Xenopus tropicalis: one gene and its partners. The protein of the gene in region 1 purifies or fractionates together with the protein of each later gene. This does not show direct contact. Links are inferred from orthologs where the notes say so. Each region holds a gene or a part of one and is shown in the gene's direction. Other genes may lie near its edges.

Evidence for each region. The genes of interacting proteins can lie anywhere in the genome.
Region 2: the proteins of rnf41 (region 1) and clec16a purify together in Homo sapiens (affinity purification with mass spectrometry; 3 studies listed by BioGRID and IntAct, with this or other methods). This does not show direct contact. The link is inferred for Xenopus tropicalis from reciprocal best matches to the Homo sapiens genes RNF41 and CLEC16A.
Region 3: the proteins of rnf41 (region 1) and soga1 purify together in Homo sapiens (affinity purification with mass spectrometry; 3 studies listed by BioGRID and IntAct, with this or other methods). This does not show direct contact. The link is inferred for Xenopus tropicalis from reciprocal best matches to the Homo sapiens genes RNF41 and MTCL2.

The regions. Positions count from the first base shown.
Region 1 is NC_030678.2:137,438,666-137,446,766, forward strand, and holds the start of rnf41 (E3 ubiquitin-protein ligase NRDP1), read left to right. Parts: upstream 1-1,820; 5' UTR 1,821-1,908; intron 1,909-2,079; exon of another isoform or gene 2,080-2,238; intron 2,239-2,323; exon of another isoform or gene 2,324-2,490; intron 2,491-2,619; exon of another isoform or gene 2,620-2,757; intron 2,758-5,108; exon of another isoform or gene 5,109-5,181; intron 5,182-8,101. UniProt on the Homo sapiens protein: Acts as E3 ubiquitin-protein ligase and regulates the degradation of target proteins. Polyubiquitinates MYD88. Negatively regulates MYD88-dependent production of pro-inflammatory cytokines.
Region 2 is NC_030685.2:36,907,829-36,915,301, reverse strand, and holds part of clec16a (protein CLEC16A), read left to right. Parts: intron 1-3; coding exon 4-137; intron 138-2,296; coding exon 2,297-2,445; intron 2,446-5,488; coding exon 5,489-5,594; intron 5,595-7,473. UniProt on the Homo sapiens protein: Regulator of mitophagy through the upstream regulation of the RNF41/NRDP1-PRKN pathway. Mitophagy is a selective form of autophagy necessary for mitochondrial quality control.
Region 3 is NC_030686.2:43,216,374-43,223,846, reverse strand, and holds part of soga1 (protein SOGA1), read left to right. Parts: intron 1-1,395; coding exon 1,396-1,641; intron 1,642-3,374; coding exon 3,375-3,434; intron 3,435-4,904; coding exon 4,905-4,987; intron 4,988-6,032; coding exon 6,033-7,434; intron 7,435-7,473. UniProt on the Homo sapiens protein: Microtubule-associated factor that enables integration of the centrosomal and Golgi-associated microtubules on the Golgi membrane, supporting directional migration. Preferentially acts on the perinuclear microtubules accumulated around the Golgi.

The DNA.
Region 1 (8,101 bases):
GGGCTTGGGAGCAACATGTTGCTCATCACCCCCATTGATGTTGCTGCCAGTGGCCTCAATATAAATTCCGATTTTTTACGGAGACATAATTTTACTCCAAGTAGGCTGGCAGTCCACGTGAGGCTACCAAATAGCAAATCTAACTTTTTTTATGCTTGTGTGGCTCAACAACACTTTTTACTGTACATCTAAGTGTGGCTCACAAATATAAAAATGTTGGGGTTCCCTGGTCTATGGCAACTCGATTTTTATTAAGTAAAATATATACATGAGAAAGAATTCCATAGATTTCACTATTAAAAAACTTCCCAAATCACAAGAATGACGTGCCTTGGCTGGATTCAATTGTTATTTGTGGTAATATTTGTGTTATATTGCTTGCAAATTTCCTGAAATGTCCTACTTAGAGAAAACATAATAAAATACACATTTGCTTGGCTAGAATAATTTTTTCTAAGTACTTGTGAGTATATTCTATTAAAGGACATGTCAACCTCAAAAATAATTTTTTGCCTAATAAAAAAAAACAAAAACTTAATTCTAAGCATCTCTGCAATATGCATTCATTACAAATTCATTATAACGGATATTAGAAGTAGTGTTAGCCAGTCCCGGTGGCTCTGACATTTGAAACAACATAACACAAGCAGCAGACTGACAGACCTGTATTGCTGGAGGAGCCTGGTATTTGCAACATTGTTTAAAAATTAACAACCAGGAGCTCAGCAAATGTTGCTTTAATAACTTTTAAAGTACTAATCATTTTTAATAAATTCATATTGGAAAGTTGCTTAGAATGATGTGTTATTTTATTCGGCAATACATTATATTTGGGGTTGACATGTTCTTTAAGCACTGCAGCCTAATTATCATTTATATGGACAGAGTCTTGTGGCAGACACTAGCAATTTGTTAGGGCAAAACCCTTTGTACTACCAACACCCCTATTAGATCACCAGTGCCTACTCATAATTCATCTATTTGTCCAGGGAGGGAATTCCACATGGCACCATTTAAACAAATAAACACAATTTTTGCCTAATAAAAGAAAATTCAATTCTAAGAAAATTTCTGTTGTAAATTTGTTATAAATGTCATAGGTTTTAAAGTTATTTGAAAATGTAATTGCTACTGAGAGAAGGGGTCGTCTCTTCCTTTCTGTCTGACTCTTGAAACAATGTAGCAGAAGTGCTTGCGTTCATCAGGCTTCTGCTACATTGTTTCAAAAATCAGAACCTGCAGGAAAGAGAATATAAGTAGGCAGATAGCTGCTTTTAGGAGTAATTCCATGTTTCAATGACTTTTAATACCAATAGATATTTGTAATGAATGCATATTGTAAAGTTGTTTAGAATGACTATTTCTTTCATTAGGTGAAAGGACGGTATTATTAAGGCAATTTAGGCATCGGGGAACTCAGTATCCAGCGGTTCTTCCTATCAAGGGCCAAACCGCAGAACCCCAGGAGCTTTCACAGCCACTCAGTATTTGAGCCCATACCTTGCTATAGACAGAACGCTAGCTCGACCCGCACAGCATCCCCAGCCGAGAGGTACTGCAGCCTTATCCGCACACACTCCACACTAGCTTCTCGCCGCTTACAGGAAGTAGTCGAGCTGGTCTGACCTATAGGCGCCCGAACACTGACACAATGAGCCAATCAAATGGCGCACCTTCTTCTATTAACCAATAAACGATTATATGTTGCGCAAGTCAATGATTTTAGCTGTTAATAATAGGGCGCGGCCCAGGCTACGGGCGGAGCTATTCCAGGAGACTGCAAATGCCAAGAGATAGAACAAGTGAAGATTTCTCTGTGAGGGCGCGGAGTTATCATTACGTAGCTTATTCGCGTTGCTTTACTCAAACCCAATACTCAGTCATTCACAGAAGCTTCTTGGTTAATAGGTAAAATGACTTTTCTGGCTGAGTTAAGCAATGTTTGTAATATAAGTAATAACAACATAAAGACTAAGCATCATGAGCAAGTAAACTACAAATAACACTCATGTCATGCACTGCATATTGTACCCCTATTACACCACATAAATGGTAAAATCCAAAATGGCGGATCCACACCTCCTGAGAATGTGACGTAGAGAAACAATTGACTAGCAACTAGAGTCCGATTGGACGCAGGCATATTTACGTCAACATCCAAGGAATGAGTTTAAAGGTTCTCCCCTGTTCCGGAGCACCTCGGTATCTCCCGCCTCCACTCACTTTTGTCCCTTGCAGGTAATTGGTCAACAAGACTGGAGGTCCCGCCCATTTGTTTAATTTCTTTTTCTTGATTGGTTTTTATAAGCTGCCTGTTACGAAAGTGGGTGGGGCCTGCGGTAGGTTGCGTAGCAGCATCCGTAGAGCGCTGTGGACGGTGGTGGCGTCAGCTGCTGATAGGGGGAAGTAGGGAGACCTAGTGCCCGGGCGTCAGAGACCCCCGCCCCGGGACAGGCGGCGTCTGGTCTGTCGGGGCCGGGGCTCGTCACGGTAAGCGTTTGCGTAGTAGAATTCATAAATTCTTCATTAGAAGCAAGAGCTGCGAGGCCACCTAGGCAAATAAATCAACGAAGCAGGTGCTGAGGCGTCTGTGTGCAGTGTGTATGACAGTGGTGTGCAACCTGCGGCCCTCTCCTACTTATTCAGCTGCGTTTTTTGGAACTGTTCCAACTTGTAGTTCAGCATTGTCCGCAGGGCCACACTATTTGCACCTTTGAAGGCTCAGTGTGGGTCTCTGGGGAAGGCGCTGCCAGTACTGTAGGTATCTGAACTGTGTTCATTGAATGTGTTGCTCCTTTTAGATACAGCTGCCTGATTGGGCTGGGATATAGCACGTACCAATGGCCAAGTCACAACTACTGACCTGTCATTTGCCTTTACAGGAGTGTGGGCTCTGTAGGTCAGTGCTATTCTAAACACCCCAATGATGGGGGGACATTTGCTATTAGCTGGAACTAGTTTTGGGCTTGTGTCTGAATGGTAACCCCGAACATTTTCTATGATTACCCCAACAACATATATATATATATATATATATATTGTATAAAATATGTATCCCTTCTGCTTCTGACTTGTGTGGCCCTCCTGCTGTTTACAGAAGTTCAGTATATGAGAAAGAGAGGGTAGTTGTACTCATGGTTGTATTTGTATATATCCGCATCAAGCTGGACTTTCATTGGCACCCTTCACTTTTAGAGAGTTAGTTATGCTCTGGCCTTCAGTTATTGTTGTTTTACTACTTCCAGCAGCCCATATGTTGCCATTTGTATCTAAACTGCAGGGTATGGCTGCAGGTTCTGTGGAGGGTGGGAAAAATATTAGGTTTTTCCTTTAAAATAAAACTATGGTACATTATGTATCTTGGAAAACATACTGTACATATTTTGTTTTGGGTGGTAGCTTTTGGCAGTTGTTTTTTTGGTGAATAACTGTTATCTTTATTTGATTTCTGTGAAAACCTGGTGCTGTATGATGTACCCCATCACATAATGTAAAAAAAACAATAGATGAGAGTTTCTGAACCTTTTGGTCTGGTGAACCAGATTAAGTCTGGAAGTTGTTTTTACAATCCAATGATTAGTTGAAATTTATTCGTGAACCCCATTGTGACTTATTGTTGAAGACATTCCAATGTATGAAGGACATCGGGTAAGTAACCTAAATAGCATTTGTGCAGTTTTTTGGGTCCGGTTCTACAGTTTAAGAATCCCTAGAATATATACTACAATTAAGGCTTGGGCTTTACATGTAACTGTTGTAATGTCGGAATTGCATTTGGTGCAGCTGTGCAAAAGGCTTTAATCTTGCTATACCTGCCTTAGGCTGATGCCACACGTGGCGTTTTTACGCTGCGTATTTTCTAATTCTTAAAAACGCCCGATATCATCATCCATAGAAATAACTTGAAAAGACTTGAAGCAAACCACACAATGCAGAAATACGCTAGAAAACGCCTTAGCACGGATTTTTCAAGCGTTGACCGAAATACGCCAGTATTTGCACAGCAAGCTATTCCTATGTATACACAAAGGCAGCTGCCAGACCTAGCGGAAATACGTGGCGTTTTTTACTATTTCGCACTATTAGCACCATGGAAACGGGATTTGCTACGTCACCAGTACTAGGCTGAAAAACGCCATAGTCAGGGGCTGTGTGGCTTGTACGGCGTTTTGAGGCTGAGAAAAAATGCCACGTGTGGCATCAGCCTTAGATTTGGTCAGGCTGTTTGGCGCATTTTGCATGTTTGTCAGCTGAGGGGCCAGTTTCAGTAGACCTTGAAATCCTCTTGGATTGCAGGTGATCTGTCCAAACTAAAAACTTTGTGTGCTGATGTGCCTTGTCTACTTCTGTATGGTGCACCTGCAATGGAGGAAATGAAGAAGACCACATAATAAGGCAATCCCTGTGTATGGTCAGTTGTACAGTATCTCTTTTTTTGGCTCACTGTCTGTCTGAATGGATCACCCAACCCCCCCCCCCCCCCCCGGGTTATGAGCACTTTTAGGCCTTATTCGTGCTAGATGTTTTTTAATCTGTATAATTTTTGTATACATTACTTACTAATTTTAAATGATTTAAGGTTATGTGTACATTTCACTCCTATTAAAAGCTGTTTCTTTCTTTTGGTATGGGCATTCAGATACTTTTGACTATGCAGTGTGTACCTTATTTCTAAGTAGTGTTCTTTTAATCTTCTTTTCCCATAAATGAACTGTAAAGTTTATGGAGAAGTCACACAAACTATTTTTAACTTATTGCATATGTCTGGGAAACTACCCCTTGGGGCTCTGAAAAGATTTGGATGTTTTTTTATTGCTGTCTATGGATTATGAAACAGCTGACTAATGAAAGGCGGCTGTTCTCACTCATGAAAACTAGTAAGCAGGATATCCTAAAGAACCAGTAACAGCAATGAATTAGTCCCATGTCCATTTATGTATCATGTACAATTACTCTACATGTTTAAACAACTGTTGTTTGCATCAAGTGTAGTAATACAATTTAATGTATAATTTTAGTGGTAAGTTCACCGTCCTATATGTTCCATGTTGCATTGACCCATTTATTTATTACAAGCACTGGAAGTGAAGTCGTGTGCTTTATTACAGGAGTGCAGAATGGAATGAGATCTGATGTAGGTTGGTATCAAAAGGGCTGTGCCCCCAGCACAGGAAGCTTTAGGTGAGAAGTTGTGTGACAGAGTTTATGGTAAAGGCTTTACATGTAGACATTTCACATATTAAGTCCAATCATTGTAAGTCAGATTTGAAAGTAAACTTTATGGCCCGGTTGTGAAGTATTCAGGAAACCAGTTAGCAGTTGTACATACAGAACGTGACCATATAAATGAGCAATTTCTAAAGAGGTGCAAGAAGGAAAGCCTTTACTTTTATTGTAACTCAAATGTTTCTGCATTGTACCTTTGTTCTTTTTCACTTCTTGTAAGAGGACACTAGTAAGGTGAGGTTTCTTACATAAGCATTGCCTCAGAAATAACTGGTTACAACTGCAGAACACGGAATAAGTATGTGTATGCTACATAAAGATAATTATATTTTTGTTTCTTTACAAAAATGGCAACCACTTTATGCTTCTTCAGCACTCATATTTTAATTTATTTACTAAAGAGGCTGGGGCAGATTTACCAAAGCACGAATTCGAATCCCGAATGGCAAAAAAAAAAAAAGTTGCGACGGCGATGAAAAAGTTGCCGAAAATACGAAAAAGGCGCAACGGCGATGAAAAAGTTGCAAAAATACAGATTATTACGAAAAAAACGCATTGGGACCGTTTGTGGATTAGTAAATGTGCCCCGCAGTATAATTTCCCTAGAAAAAATTCAGGCAAACAATCTTGGAAACATGCAGTGCTGCCAAAATTGACCTTCAAGTTTGTTATAAAGATAAAAGCATTGATATAGCAACCATTACTGCTTTTGTCGATATGAAGTTATTTATCATCTACAGTTGCAAGAAAAAGTATGTGAACCCTTTGGAATTGTATGGATTTCTGCTCAAATTGGTCATAAAATGTTATCTGATCTTCATCTCAATAGACAATCACAGTCTGCTTAAACTAATACCACACAAAAAATTAAATGTTTCCATGCTTTTATTGAACACACCATGTAAACATTCACAGTGCAGGTGGAAAAAGTATGTGAACCCTTGGATTTAATAACTGGTTGAACCTCCTTTGCCAGCAATAACTTCAATTAAACGTTTCCTGTAGTTGCAGATCAGACGTGCACAACAGTCAGGAGTAATTCTTGACCATTCCTCTTTACAGAACTGTTTCAGTTCAGCAATATTCTTGGGATGTCTGGTGTAAATCGCATTCTTGAGGTCATGCCCCAGCATCTCAATCGGGGTTGAGGTCAGGACTCTGACTGGGCCACTCCAGAAGGCATATTTTCTTCTGTTTAAGCCATTCTGTTGTTGATTTACTTCTATGCTTTGGGTCGTTGTCCTGTTGCAACACCCATCTTCTGCTGAGCTTCAGCTGGTGGACAGATGGCCATAAGTTCTCCTGCAAAATGTCTTGATAAACTTGGGAATTCATTTTTCCTTTGATGATAGCAATCTGTCCAGGCCCTGACGCAGCAAAGCAGCCCCAAATCATGATGCCCCCACCACCATACTTCACAGTTGGGATGAGGTTTTGATGTTGCTGTGCCGTGCCTCTTTTTCTTCACACATAGTGTTGTGTGTTTCTTCCAAACAACTCAACTTTGGTTTCATCTGTCCACAGAATATTTTGCCAGTACTGCTGTGGAACATCCAGGTGCTCTTTTGCAAACTTTAAATGTGCAGCAAAGTTTTTTTTGGACAGCAGTGGATTCGACCGAATACCAATCCAAATCCTAATTAGCATATGATAATTAGGATTTGGAAGGAGATTTTTTTCCCCCCTAACATTTAACCCTTCCAAATCCTAATTAGCATATGCTAATTTGGTTCGGCCAGGACTGTGGATTCGGCTGAACCCTGCCGAATACCGAACTGAATACTGGATTTGGTGCATCCCTAGTAAATTTACATTATCATTTTAATCAGTGACTTTGACATTCTGCTCATAGAACAGCTTGCCTGTATCACAGCCAGAAGTAAGATGATGAAGGCTGGGCTCAGATGTAGAGTTTCTTATGGCATTTAAATACCGTGAGTAAGTCTTAAATCCATGACTGCATTCCTTTGTGGCTTTAGCACGATGCGATGAGCCAGTGTCATCTGAGAATCTGGGCCCTAAATTCTGAAGGCTGCGTTCCTCTTGTGTGACGCTGATGTACCAAGTCCATTTCTGGCCTATAGCCTGCCCTTAGTGTTCCTTACTGCTCAAATAACATTATGATAGCTGGAGTTGCAGCCAGCTGTGGATGTTATGAGTGTTAACTGTACGGTGGCTCAAAGCAATATTAGTGTGTTTATTGTCCACCATTAAAAAGTAATTTTCTTTTCTTTATTTCTTGACTAAGTCTTTTTTCTGTAATAATTAAACAGAACCTTGTTCTTTACCCCAAGATATAATTAATTCTTATTGGAGGCAAATCAATTTTGTTTGTTTCATTTATTTAAAGTTTCAATAATAATTTAGCAGACTTAAAGGAGAAGGAAAGGCTATGTCACTTGGGGGTGCCAAAATTTTAGGCACTCCCAAGTTACTTAAATCGCTTATCTTGTACCCCGGGCTGGTGCCCCTGTTAGGAGAAAACCGCACCAGCCTGGGGTAGCTGTAGCGAGCGGTTCCTTCTTCTGCGGCAAAATCCCTGGGCCGGCGCATTAGAGTGAAAAGCTGACTTTGTTGTTTAAGTTCGGCTTTTCACTCTAATGTGCATGCGCAATGCGCCAACGCGGAAGAGGAAGCGTTCGCAGCTACCCTGGGCTGGTGCAGTTTTCTCCTAACAGGGGCACCAGCCCGGGGTATAAGGTAAGCAATTTAAATCACTTGGGGGTGCCAAAATGTTAGGTGTAAGTGACTTAGGCTTTCCTTCTCCTTTAAGGTATGGAAATCCAAATTACAGAAAGATCATTTATTCAGAGAAGTTTTTTAATCTAGCCTGATATGGGCTGCAAGCAAACATGTTAGATCAAAGAACAACCAA
Region 2 (7,473 bases), on another chromosome or scaffold:
TAGCTTCTTTCTGGAAAAGAACATGTTTGTCTTCTTCTTGAATATATTACGGCAGAAGTCGGGTCGTTATGTCTGTGGTCAACTTCTTCAGTCATTGAACATGTTATTTGAAAATATAAATCACGAGACTTCTTTGTGTGAGTACACCAACTTACTGTTTATCCTACAAATAACAAAACCATTAAAGGTGGATTAAAATGTACATGATATTATTCATACTTTAGCTATACACATTTCATGAGAAAGGTGCATTTTTATTGTTTTATTTAAAATATAGAGCATAATAGAATAGAAAGTAAGTAGTTTGATTCCAGGTCAAGTAATACGACTGGAAGTGACGGTGTCGCTGAGACATGGCGTAGGTATGACAAATACAAAGCTGCAATTTCTAGATCTTCCAGCAGCTCGGGCATTATAGCTTTGTTGTCAATTGAAGCACATACATAACAAGATTTAAGTGGAGGCAAATTTCTTGAGGATTAAAGAAAATGCATAGGTGTGAAACTCTTCAATTACTATTCAATATTATACCAGGAGCCCCAGACTTTATCGAATATAGTAACTGTGCCCCTAGTCTCATATGTGAGTTTATACAAGGGGTCAACCATGTTTACCAAATTTCTTAGCCATGATAATAGGCAGGGAGGTACCCATCCAGTGCATTACTGCTGTCCAGAACCTAAAGACATGCGGACATGACTAGATCGTATGAAAATAGTTAGCAGATCTTTTTCAGATCAGTGATCTATTTGGGCGGGAGCCATCTGTGGAGCAATTGAGGGGGTCATACACGTTCAGATTTTAGTCTTCTTCCGGCGAACATTTGGATATCAATTGTATGTTTAAATGCAACAATCTAAAACTAACATTCAGGACTGATAAAGCCCTAAAAATAGCAACTCACAGATTGTTCTGAACATGAAATAAATGCCAAACACTACTTGTACGAAAGTGACTTCCTGTAAATGCATTGTAGGTCCCCCAAGGATATCGTCAGATACACAGTATATGCGCAGATTTTAATGTTATCTGACCGAAATTTCCTAACCTGTTTAATTGACTAAATAACCGATCGCCATGTTGTGAAAATTATCAGGATGATAATTTGGAGCCCACACATGGTCCTAAAATAGCACAAAACTATGTTTCTTTTGATTATATTGGTGCATGTATGGCAAGCTTTAGTGGCGTGATATAAAGGTGGCAAACGTTTTGTACTGTATTAGCTTACCTATGATGGAGATAAGGCAATTATACATAGTGTCAGTTGCCTCTTCCCAATCATTTTGAGCGAACTTTGGTATTTGGAAAGACCATTATTTCCCTGCCGAATAAAAGGCTTTGGGGCCTGTTAAGAGCAGGTTTTGGTATAAGCCTGGTGAATGCATATTTTATTGAAGATATGCACTTTAAAGGTATACTGTCAGGATTTTTATGGTATACTTTTTATTTGTAAATTACACTGTTTACATAGGAAAGAATTCACCCTACCATTTATTTAAACTTTTATTCATGAAACCAACAAATGTATTTTTTTAGTTGTTATATTGTTGTGTCTTACTACTGAGTGCTATTCTGATATTTACTGGGAGCTGCTATCTTGCTACCCTCCCATTGTTCTGCTGATCAGCTGCTGGGAGGGAAAGAGAGGGGGTGATTTTACCCCCACTTGCAGCTCAGCAGTTTGACTGAAGTTTGTCAGAGCACAGGTCACATGACTGTGTCATCCTGGGAAATGAAGAATATGGCTAGCCCTGTGTGAAATTTAAAATTAAAAAAAACTGTTGCAGGATTCTGCTGGAGAAATTCTGTTAACTGATACATTTTCCCATGACAGTATTCCTTTAAGGATAAGAAATATGAAGGCATTAGTCTCATTGCACTTTCTTAAAAAACAGTAGTGCACATCTCCCTGCCCTTGTGCTGCCATTCCTTTTTAGCAAACTAACCACTCATGTACAAAGATGAACAAACTAAATTGGAGAGCGGCATTGAATCTTTCACGTGAATTTCCAGTTCACATATCGGAGTGAGGTGAAAGAATCTGTTGTAAAAATATGATTCCCCTGCATCATATTTAATAAATGATAACAGAAAATGTTTTTAGGCAGTGCACATTTGCCAAACGATTTGAAGTTTAATATTAAATATATGTTGAACATAAGCTAATTGTGAAGTGTCAGCAATTGCAGCATTATAAGCAAATTATTGTCACTTACACATTGCTTTACTTACAATTATATTTTAAAAGGTATTTCTGATCGTGATTTTTAATTTGCACTTTTTTTTCCAACAGACTATCTACTCTCTAATAACCATGTAAACTCAATCATCGTCCACAAATTTGACTTCTCTGATGAAGAGATTATGGGTTATTATATTTGCTTTCTAAAAACCCTTTCTGTGAAACTTAACAATCACACAGTCCATTTCTTTTACAATGAGGTACGTAGTTCTCTATTGTGGATTTATTATAACAATGCCAGTATTTGTGTCTTTTGTATATTTGGATAAATATAGGTGTGCACTGGCATTTTATTGCAACCAAATGTATGTATTTCTTTTTAAAATTTTGTGTAATATGTGTGTGCATTATATAGTTACATAGTTTATTTGGGTTGGAAAAAAGACAAAATCCATGTTCAGTCTCTTCAAATGAACCCCAGTGCACATGTAACACATACATAAACGGCTATCTGTACACACAAACATATAAACTATATATGATACCTATTCTGAACTAACCATTTCCGGTTGTCTTGGATATTATGCTTGTTCAAAGTAATCATCCAAGCCACTCTTAAAGGCATTAATAGAATCTGCCCTCGCAACATCACCCTGCAGGGCATATCTCTGCACTCACCATGAAGAACCACCTACACTGCTTCAAATGAAACTTAATTTCCTTAGTCTAAAGGGGTGGCCTCCCATTCTTTGATCTTTTCTAAGAGTGGAATGATTCCCTGCTATCATTCTAAAATGTCTTCTAAAGAGGAATCCTGTCCCATTGCAAGTGCTTTTTCTCCAGAGAAAACAACCCCAAACTTTACAATCTTTTCTTTAATTCCCTTTTTTATCCAAGACAGAGGCTACTAAAGTAATTCAAGTACTATGTGACACTTCCTAGAGGTACACAGCTTGTTGTCCACAAAAATCCCCAAATCCTTCTCAATTAAGGATGCTCCAAAACACTGCTATTTAATTTGTTTGCCATTTGTTATTTCTACCAAAATGCAACTAACCTTGCACTTACCAACATTGAATCCCCATTTGCTGCCAATTTCTCCATTGTAGTAAAATCGCTGTGCAAAGTGGAGGCATCCTGCATGAATAGAGACACTGCTTAAAGGAGAAGGAAAGGCATTTTGGAATTTTACTGCAAATAGATTAGCCACATCAGTGCCAACTATATTTAATTTGTAGAAAGCTTTACCATACCTGAGTGAGCAGCCCTAGAAGCTCCATCTGTTTGCTTAAGACAGCAGCTGCCATTTTAGTTTGGTCTTGGTAGCTTCCTTGCTGAAGTTGTAGCTGCTGGTAGCTCAGATCACACATTCTGATGGGAGTGGGAGTGAATTCTTATGGAAGGGGGGCACAGGAGAAGGGAGAGAAGATAGAGCTGTGCAGACTCTGGCCCCGGGAATAAAGGATTTTCCTGAGGGAAGAAGTCCGCTATCCTAAGGACATGTTTACAAAAAAGGAGACAAGAAATCATGTATTTCTTTTGCAGCCTTACTGTGCTTATGACTATATTTACATAGACCTTTCTGATAAAGCTTATTTAGTTTTTACCTTTCATTCTCCTTTAAAATGCCCACCACCAGGTTAAAAAACCAAGGACAGACCCTGCAGTTCTCCACTAACAACACTGTCTAGTTAGAATATGTTCCATTTACCTCTACTTTTTGTAATCAATCCAGGGGTCATTTGGGAAACTGGGCAGGAAGTTTTGACCCAGGCAGCCCTTCAGAAAACAGGGCTGTCCGGGTCAAAACCGGACAGGTGGCAACCCTAGGTTTTGCTCACCTCCAAGTAGAAAGCAATTAAATTAGTGTGGCAAGATCTAATATGCATAAAATTATGCTGACATGATTGTGATTTGCAGTGTTTTAAGGCATTTTTTTGTATTCAGTGTATTCAAGTGTCTTGTACTTTATTAGCAACATCAATTGGAGGAGAAATGGCACGCACTCCTTGGTCCACTAAAACTTGTCTTTATTATAAGGATCTTAAAACAAAAAAGGTCCTGACGCGTTTCTTATACAAAAGATACGTAGTCATAGGCACATACAAATGTCGTGTGTTGGAGGTGGAGGGTCCGGAGTTTATACACCCGGACCACACAATTTACGGGGTGAGCTTATCACTTAATTTATAATTAGTTTTGGTGGAGAGCCTGGAGATGATACACCTGTGCTCACATTTAAATGGTTTTAGAAAGTGTTCACTAACTTTTTTTTTCCCCCATCCTGTTACTGCATAACTGAGCCACTTACTTTTTAGGATTGATGTTTGTACTTTATTACCCCTTCAAAATCTTTCCTACCACCGATTTTAAACTAACAGGCCTATAGTTTCAGGCTGAGCACAGGATCCTTTTTTAAATAGTTGAAATTTGCCAGTCTTTCAGCACCATGCCAGACCTCAGAGAATACTGAAAAATTAAGTAAAGAGGTTTGGCTAAGCTCTTTTAAAGGAGAAGGAAAGGTAAAATCACTGGGGGTGCCCTGTGATTGTAATTGCTTACCTTACACCCTGGGTTGGTGCTTTTGTTAGGAGAAAACCACACAAGCCCGGGGTAGCTGAGAATGAGCAATCCTCTTCTCTTTCTCAACTATCTTCAGAATCCAGGGGGTGGCGCAGGTGTGCCAATTTGTTGCCGCAACTTTTTAAAAAAATTAATTTGTTGTGCCAACTAGTACATTAACCTGGGGCAGCAAAATCGAAACGATTAGTTGCTGCAGCCAAGGTTTTTACAAGTAACGGCGACTAATCACCACCTTGTGTCCTCGCCCCAACTCTCTTCAAAAATTAAACTCATATACTGCCTCTGAAGCACTGGCATAACATCTAAGTCAGTCTTGGCAATACCTAAACCACTGTACAGTAAAGCGCTTATTATTTGTGTTTGTAAGTTCCTCTTGTGTTTCTTAACACTTAGCATTAAATATGAAGTGTAATGGTATGTAGTTATTTATCTGTTCTTGTATTTTTACATGTTTTATAAATGTATTGTTGAATGTACATTGCTGCCTATCTGCATATATCTATACAACTTGACTTTTTTGTGCTGCGTTTCCCAGCATTCAAGCTAGTAACTGCACGGGACCACAGGCATATACTGCTTGGCTCTTTGGAGACAATAGGGTAAAAAAAAAAACTAAAGTGTGTTTTTGTTTTGGTATAAAAATTATTTTCCAGATTAGTAAATGCTTTTGCTTCATCTTCTGCTTAATTTAGTAATGGAAGTATATTGTTGGTTTTTCAGCACACCAATGATTTTGCTCTGTACACAGAGGCCATTAAATTTTTCAACCATCCAGAGCATATGGTCAGAATTGCAGTGCGAAACATTACTTTAAATATCTACAAAGGTAAGTATGTGTTTGCTTTTGTATTAAAGCGCTACAAAACTAGATGGGAGACATTTATAAGAAAGATTTATAAGATAAAGATTTGATTTTGCAAATACAGCAGCAAGTCTTACCCTAAATTGTTAACCAGAGCTACTATTCTCTTTAATGGTTTAACACGCTGAACTGCAATAGCATAGTTGTACAGCAGAGGTCACTGTTGTATTTTATTAGCATTTATAGCAATCACTGTAGATTTGTATGACAGGCTTGATGTGCAGTCTGTCTCTTGGTCACTCTTATATAAAAAAAAACAAGTGTACATACTCCTACAAAGGCCTTACCAGAATGTTAGCTAATATCTGCTCATGCCTTTTATTATATTATTATTATTATATTTTTCTAATGCATGACTATTACTTGAGCACAAATTGCATTTCTTACCCTTTACCTGGTGCTATAAATATGGATTAAAAATATAAAACTGGCTGTTGTCCAGTAATATCTCTTTAGCTTCAGCAATAGTTGTGGGTTGGTTAAAAACCAATGTATGCAAGTAGATTAAAGGTTAACTATACCCCCAGAATGAATACTTAACCAACAGTTCATATATGTTAAGTGATGTATTAAAGCAGTGGTCCCCAACTTTTTATTGTGCCAAGGGCCGATGGCAAGCAGGTAAATTTTTCCAAGGACCAGGGGGTGGGGGGGCGGGATGCGCGCAGTGTTCATTCATGCCTTTATACGTGAGGCGCATTCAACTACATCTTTATACGTACAGGCTTTCCTACGAGCCTCTATATGTGTGGCGCGTTGGTCTGCACCTCTAAACCCCCATGTCTTTATAGGCGCAACACTTTTATACGCGCATATTCAGCGCGGCCAGGAACAGAGGCGGCCCACTAGAAAGCAGCCCGCGGACTGGCGGTTGGGGACCCCTGTATTAAAGAATCTCCCCACACTGGAATATTGCCCTTTTACATCCTTTCCCTTGATCCACCATTTAGTGATGGGCTGTGTGTTCCCTCAGAGATCACATGACCAGAAATAATGCAGCTCTAACTGTAATAGGAAGAAGTGTGGAAGCAAAAGGCAGAACTCTGTCCATTAATTGGCTGATGGGGCCTAGCATGTATGTGTGTGCCTTGGCTTGTTTGTGTGCACTGTGAATCCTATGGGCCCAGGAGGCACCAATTTTCTGTTAAGGAGTAGCCAATAGTACATACTACTAAAAAAAGTATATTTTTATGAAAATGGTTTATTTAGATGAAGCAGGGTTTTACTATGCAATGAGATTTTTTATGCAATATATTTTTTTATAGAGAGCTATATTGTTCTCAAGTGGACAAGTAGACATGGAACATTCTTTAATTTAGATGCCATTGTGCAGTAACAATGACAGAGTACTAATTGAATACATTATGCTTTGATTGCAGTGTAGAAGCACTAAGTATTTAGAATTTGAACCTAAGCGCATCTCCAGTTTTTCCCTGTCATCCTTTGAAAAATAAAAATAGCCTTTCTGTTTACAGGTTAAAAAAAAAAAAAAAAAGCAAAGACAACAGTTACTAGAAAGCTGCATTTTCAGCATTGTGCTTTACCCCAGCTGCCATCAGCAAAAGATGTCCTTCTTAGGTGTTTAAAATCTTAGACTTGATGTTTTGCAACTAAGTGGGTTACAGAGCATATTCCATCAGTCAGTAAATGGAGAGAGCAGCCCAGAGCCAAGTACCAAGTCCAATATAGCAGCTCTCTGGCTTGTGTTACAGGAATTTATTTTGCCACTAACATCGTTAACATCAATGCGGGAGCACCATAATTGAAACGTTTGATGTTAGTAAATGCTTATCTGTGATGCAGCAACATGATTCTGTTAACAACTCAACAGTTATTTTGATTG
Region 3 (7,473 bases), on another chromosome or scaffold:
TTGTTTATTCCTGTGTGTGCTCTGTGCCATAAGCATTACTGGGAGCAATTTTGTGCTCTTGGGTCCAAATAGTAGATCTTCAATACCATTTTTGAATTATCCTTTGAATAAAGTGTCTTTCAGAAATCACAGATGTCTCAATCAGCCTTTTAAAGTTTTTGCAAAATATCTATTCTAGAAAAAAAATATCCCCTTTAATGAAATAAAAGCTTTAGTGTGTGTGGGGGCAAAGGATATCGTTAAAATGGTGGATGTGGAACAAACAGTTAACAATTCCTTCTCCTCGATCACATTTGCCTGTTCTCGGATGTGGGAATGAGTGCCGTTCTCTGGTGTATAGCGTGTTATATTTAATTAGCACTTTTTAATGAAGCGTTATGGAAAAGAGAAGAGGCTCTGTGTTTGTAACCATGTGAGCAAGGCCTGTAGGATATTGCGCTATTGTCCCCCAGGCTTCAGCCTCAAATGCAGAAAGACAAAACTGTCTTGGGTGGCTAATGAAGGGTTTTTTCACCTACCAATATATCACACACACATATATATATCTGAAACAGAAAGGGGTATTAAGAACATTTTTGTTATTATTGTATGTATATATATATATATATATATATATATGTGTGTGTACATTTTTGGGGGTAGAGTTTTTCTGCATCACCGCTACTTTCTTTTCCCTCTGTGCCTTGGTCCTTATATCTGTGCAGAATACATTTGCTACACTTTATTCTGCCCCAGCTGGGTTCCTGGCCTATGGGTTGCCATGTACGCATGGCTGGCTTGCTGCAACAGATGTCAGACCCCCTGAATATTTTATAAGTGAAACAGACTGTGAGCGGCAGCAAAGATGAACACATGAATAATGTAGGAGTTTTGGCGGGTTTGCCGGTACAACCATTACTTGGCTGGAATAAAACTATTCGTATAAGGTTCTTCCCTGTTTCTGGTAGATGTATATTGTTTTATTGGAATGCCAATGGCCTTGAGTTCTTGCTTAGACGGACAAGACAAAAATTTTAATTTGATACTGTGAAGAGGTGCTTTGCTTTCTGCTTATTTTAACTTTGCCTAAGACCTGTTGCCAGCCATTGCATCATAATGTGGTTTTATGCAGACCCATGGTCCAACAGTCCAGTTGCTTAGACTTAATTCTGCTAGATACCAAGGTCCAGTGAGCTGCTGTCCATCTGGAAGCGCCAAATTGGCAACTTATTGGTCTTTGTATGGATAGCTTAAGATATGTTGTTGTTGTTCTAGAACCCAAGCCAGGTTCCCATATTAAAATAGTAGAACATTATTTTTGCCCTTTGCCAACACAGAACACTCAAGAATACTTTAGTCCTCTAGACTTTGCCTGGGTTCACGTTAGCAACCAGAGGTGCCATTCTATCTTTTTAGCTGGATTCCGGAAAGCATGGTGTTGACCGCGCATCTTCAGATCTCAAATCCGCCCTGAAGCGAGAGAGGGAGGAGCACCAGCACCTCCTTGCCGAGTCCTACAGTGCAGTCATGGACCTCACCAAGCAGCTTCAGGTCAACGAGAAAAACTGGGCCCAAGAAAAAGAGGAGCTCCTCAATCGGTTCCAAGATGAACGCAAACTTGCCGACCAGCAGATGCGGGAGCTGCAGAAGAAACTTAAACAGGTGAGGGCTCAGCTGGCATCTAATCTATGAGGGAGAATTCTTGGGCCTGTGCTGAAGGGTTCTGGGAATTGAAATGAATTGACTGCAACTCCGGTGGCCAGATCTGCCTTGTGATATCTCAATCATATGATACGATATGTGTCGCAGTCACAATCGCGCATGATTTGCTAACCGTTTCATTCAACCTACTTGTTCTTAGAAATGGAAGGTGCCATTAGTTTACAGAGCTTTTGGAAATTATTTGTTTCCTTCTTTGGAGAAATTAGTTTTTACCAACTTTTTATTTAGTTGAAATTAAATACATTTGTTCCCCAAAAAGGCAGTCTTGTTCAAATGCAGGCTAATCCCTGCTTAGTGCTGCTTGCTGCCCCCCCATATCTAACCGTAACCTCATTTTGCTTGAATTGAGTTTATAGAATAGATCCAAATGATGCAAATCCTTTATCCCCCCCGCAGCACAAATGACTGTGTATCCAGTACTTGCTGGAAGGAAAATTCTGACTCCAAAACAAAGTATAAATAGTTTGTGGGATGGTGGCGCTGAGTGGAATCATATTCTTATCTCTTGTAGCATTACAGGCAACAGAACAGCCAGAGAGGCCTCATTATCTTGCTGGTATAAAAATAGAAATGTGGAGCTGGAGAGAGTAACTGCTTGGGCATATAATGTAGCCTTCTATCCTGCTCTATCCCGAATAAGTTAGATGTTAAACAGGTTGTGTAGAAAGCAGTTTTCTTAAAAAAATAAATAAATAAATGCATTTGAATGTATAGTTTTTTCTTTTGTTACTGAAGTATAGAATTTCAACTGCTATCTAATTGCTAAGGCTTTGTTATCCTAGCAGTCAGGCAGCAGTTGAAAAATCATAACGAATCAGTGGGAGAGGTATACATAGTACTGCAATTCTGCCCATATATATATATATATATATATATATATATATATATATATAATATATATATGTGTGTGTAAATGCAAAAATAGAAATGTTTATTACTTGATGTTTCGGTCTCACACAGAAACGTTCATCTGGAGTCATCTTGTTTTTCACTCCAGATGAAGGTTTCTGTGTGAGACTGAAACGTCTATTTTCTATTTTGGCATTTACATTTTGCTCACAATTCTTTGAATCCTAGGAGTGCTGTCCTTGTTCCAGTATATATATATAATATAGTTCATCTAAATGTTCAGGAGCAAATGTTGATCTGGGGGATTTCTGCATATATATAATATATATATATATAAAACTGAAACAGCCTTGATTACTACAGACTAATGAAATAGTGCCCTCTAGTGGCCAAAGTATCAACATTTACAATCTAATTAATTAATGATGAGCGAATTTTTTTTGCCAGGCATGGTTTTGCAGTGAAATTACGCATGTCACCATTGGCAAATTGTTTTGCCACAAAAAATTTGCGGGCATGTAAAAAAAGGCACACTTGTGCAAGTACCTGCATTTTGCTGATTTTTCCCAGTTTCGTTAATTTCTTTGCCAAATCAAAACGGGACGGATCACTAGTTATAACAAACATATAGAATCCTATAATAATATCCTCTCCAGCACCAACATACCCTGATCCTATTCATGGGGCTTGTAGATTATAAGTGCATTTTTTTTGCATCCATTACCCCACAGCAACCAATTAGGAAATGGCTATTACTATTCTATAAAACTGTGCCTTTGCCATGTGTATACCATATAACAGTACCTGTTTTATATTGACTGCAGAAGGAAGCAGATTCCTGGGTGAAAAAAGAACCTGAGAGGAGGAGCAGCTGCTGGAAAGAGGTGAGCAAGTTGGTATTCTCCTGCTGTATTTTCTATGGCAGGTACATGGGCTTCAGTTTGCCCACCCCTTGCTTAGGGGCCAGTCCATCCTACAGTTAGTCCTACGCTGATGCTTTAGCATTTATTGTTTATATTTTTAAGGGTAAATATCACACACCTGAGAATAGTTCTCTACTTTTCAAGCCCAATAAACTGCCTATATAGTACCCCCACTGAGCTTATTCTATTTGGGTTCTTAAAACTGGGAGCCTCCATATATATTAATTGCAATACAACTCCCAGCATGCATCTACCATGGGATCCTGGGAGTTGTAGTTTAAAGCAAATACAAGTGGCAGTTTCCAGGCCTAACAAATGTAGGTGCATTCCTACGCTTTTAAACGGCACAAATATTGTTGCATGTGCTGCTTTCCCTTGCTATAAAAGGCTTCTCTTGCATCAAGCAGGGGCTTCAAAAATAGATCCTTCCACCACAGAACATCCTCTCACTTATCAAGCTGTTGCTTTTGAACCATCGGACATGCTTGTTTTGTGTAGATAAATTGAAATCAACCCAAATGCATAATTTGTCCCCCCCAACCCTCTGGTTCGGCTGCCTATTCCAGATGGCTTGTGGCATAGAGAAATAAAACAACCTTGCTTTTGGGCAGCTCTAGCTAATTGTCAGGGGAGTGTGTGGCCTGACCCCAAACAGCTGCCACCTACATTGAAAGACTATGGTAACTCTATAGTTCCACAGCTGCTCTCAGACATGCCTCTTAACCCTTTCATTCCTACAGCGAAAAAGATGCATCTTATTGAATCTGCATGCATATCTGCCTTTACTTTCCAAGTGCCAGTTTGCCAAGCGTGTAATAAATAAGCCCACCTAAAGGTGCCCATACACGGGCCAATTCTAGCTGCCGATATGGCTCCCTTAGACTGATTCGGCAGCTAATCGGCCCGTGTATGGGCACTACCGACGGGACTGCCCAACCGATATCTGGCCTGAAATTGACCAGATCTCGATCCGGCAGGTTTAAAAATCTAGTCGGATCGAAGACCGCATCAGTTTGTTGATGCGGTCCCCAAACCGACTGCCCCATTGCCGCCAATATAATTTGATCGTTTGGCCCATTAGCCCACACGTTCCCGATATCGCCCACCCCGTAGATGGGGATATTGGGTGAAGATCCACTCGCTTGGCGATCTCACCAAGCGAGTGAATCTTCACGTGTATGAGGACCCTTAAGTTTGCCGAGATGCAATAACCCATAGCAACCAATCAACAGGTAATATTTACTGGCCACTTGTTTAAAACCAAACATTTCATTGGTTGTTCATAGGTTACTGCACCTGGGCAAACACTTTTTATTACAGCTTTATGTAAGGGGGTTATAAGTAGGGTTTTGTGACTTTGTTCTCATGTCAAAGAGCATGATGCCAACAGATATGCCTTCCCATATAAATCCTGTGCTTGTTTTACCCTAGGCTGTCAGCAATAAACTTCAGGACAAAGACATTGACTGTGACTGTGACTGTGACTCCGATGCCAGTGTGACCAGCTTAAAAAGGTAAGGTGTATTGGTACTGCTGTTTAGCCATTCCTGTACTTTGTAACCTTCATCCATTGAGCCCTTGTACCAGTATCAGTTAGTTTGTCTTTGGTGTGTGTGGTGTCTTTGGTGTGTATGATTTAAAGGAATTGTTCAGTATAAAAATGAAAATAGATAGACTGTGCAAAATAAAAAATGTTTTCAATGTAGTTAGCACTAAATGTAATCCATAAGGGCTGGCTAACATACCAGCCAGGACTTGGCTTCCTCCTTTGCAGCTCTCTAACCTATTAAATGTCAGTAACCAATCAATGACTTGAGGGGTAGATATATGGGACATAACCGTTTGCTTTGGAATCTGACCTGGGTGCTAAGAATCAAAAGCAAACTAAGTGAACAGTTATGTCCCATGTGGCCCCCCCTCAAGTCGCTAACAAACTAAGAGGTTGTAGAGCTGAAAGTTGGAAGTTGGGTTCTGGCTATTATGTTAAGGTCCCCATACACGTGAAGATTCGCTCGCTTGGCGAGAGTGCCAAGCGTGCAGATCTTCGCCCAATATTCCCACCTACTGGTGGGCGATATCGGGAACGTGTAGGCTAATTTGATCGCTTTGCCCTGGGGCCAAACGATCAAATTATATTGGCGGCAATGAGCAGTCGGTTCGGGTACCGCATCAACGAGCCAATGCGGTCCCCGATCCGACTGAATCTTTTAAAATTTAACGATATCTGGCCATTTCAGGCCAGATATCAGTCGGGCAGGCCCCTCGTTTCTGCCCCTACACGGGCCGATAAGCTGCCAAATTGGTCCAAGGGACCAATATCGGCAGCTACAATTGGCCCGTGTATGGGGACCTTTAGATATCCACTCATTCCAGCCTTTATAGATTACATTTTTGGTTAACTATGAACAAGAACAACATTATTTTTTTTTATCTATTTACCCAGTTTTATTTTGACACTGAACTGTTCCTTTAATCGGTTGCTTATGTAGAAAATGTGTCTGAATATAAAAGTTGAATATAAAAATATAGCATTTCACTTCCTGTTCAATTTTGCTTTAGGACCAAATCTGTATCTTCCATGTCAGAGTTTGAAAGTTTACTCGATTGTTCCCCCTTTCTGCACGACAACACATCCTCTGCTAATGGCGAAAATGCCAATGAGAGGAGAGGTCTACCAGCTTCTACACTCTTGGTCAACGGTTCTAAAAACTCAGAAAAACATTGTTCATATGAGGGTAATGACAATTCCCTGGCCGGACATCTTCCCAAGGGTAACCTGGTGATCTCATCCTGGGATTATACGATGGCCAAGGCTGATAATCGTGTGGATGGGCAGAAGCACATACAGAGAAGCTACACGGCGCCAGACAAGACAGGCATTCGGATTTATTATAGCCCACCAGTGGTTCGGAGGCTCGATGTGCCTTTGGTCCAAAATAAAGAGGATAAACTCATGGTAGAAACGGGATTCCTGTTTACCATGGCCAAACCAAAAGAATCAGAAAAATCAGACGGGTTATCTGGGAATTCGTATAGCCGCTGGCTTTGTAATTTCTCCAAAAAGCAGCGGGATTTGTTGGATGGCGATTCAGTAAAAGACTCTTCTTCTGTCCCAGGGTTTCCATCTTCCCTCGGGGATTTGGAGATTTCTGGTAACATGAGCGATGATATGAAAGAAATCACAAATTGTGTTCGACAGGCGATTCGCTCTAGCTCCTTAGAAAGGAAACCAAAGAGTACAGCAAGTCAGACTGTTGGGCTGTCCAGTGTTGGTGTTCAGACTGTTCAGATGGTTAGTGTTGGTCTTCAAACCGATCCCACTAGATCAAGCCTAACATCAAAAAGCTGGTCACCAAGGAGTTCTTCTCTGCTGTCTACTAGGACCAAACACATTTCAACATCTTTGGACAAAGTTCATTCAAGAATAGATCGGCCTTGCTGCTCTCCCAAGTATGGGTCCCCTAAGCTCCAGAGAAGGTTATCTTCCAAACTAGATGGGTCCAAGGATCGGAGCTTGTGGAATCTGCACCAGAATAAACAAAACGGTTCAGCTTGGGCAAGATCGACAACAACTCGGGACAGCCCTGTCCTCAGTAACATCAACGATGGATCATCTAGTTTGTTCAACGTGGTTGATCATGCTGGAAGTACTGAATCTATCTGCAGATTGGGCCTCGGAGAAAGCAGAAGCAAATCTGATACTCCTAAGTACGGTATTGTGCAGGAGTTCTTTAGGAATGTGTGTGGCCGAACATCCCAAAGCTCCAGTGCTGTGTCTGAGAAGAAAGAAGCAGAAGACTGCAACAAACGACCTGATAACCATGACCACTGTTCTTCTGTTTGTCACTCCACTTATAATGTGTCTAAACTACTGAGCAAGAAGGTACCAAGGCAGCACACCAGTGATGAACAGAAGGGAAGTCCTAAGGACTCTGAGGTTATTGCTACATCTACTAATGAAGTAAGTGCCATTTCTAGCTTTCTTTAGTCACTTGTGATG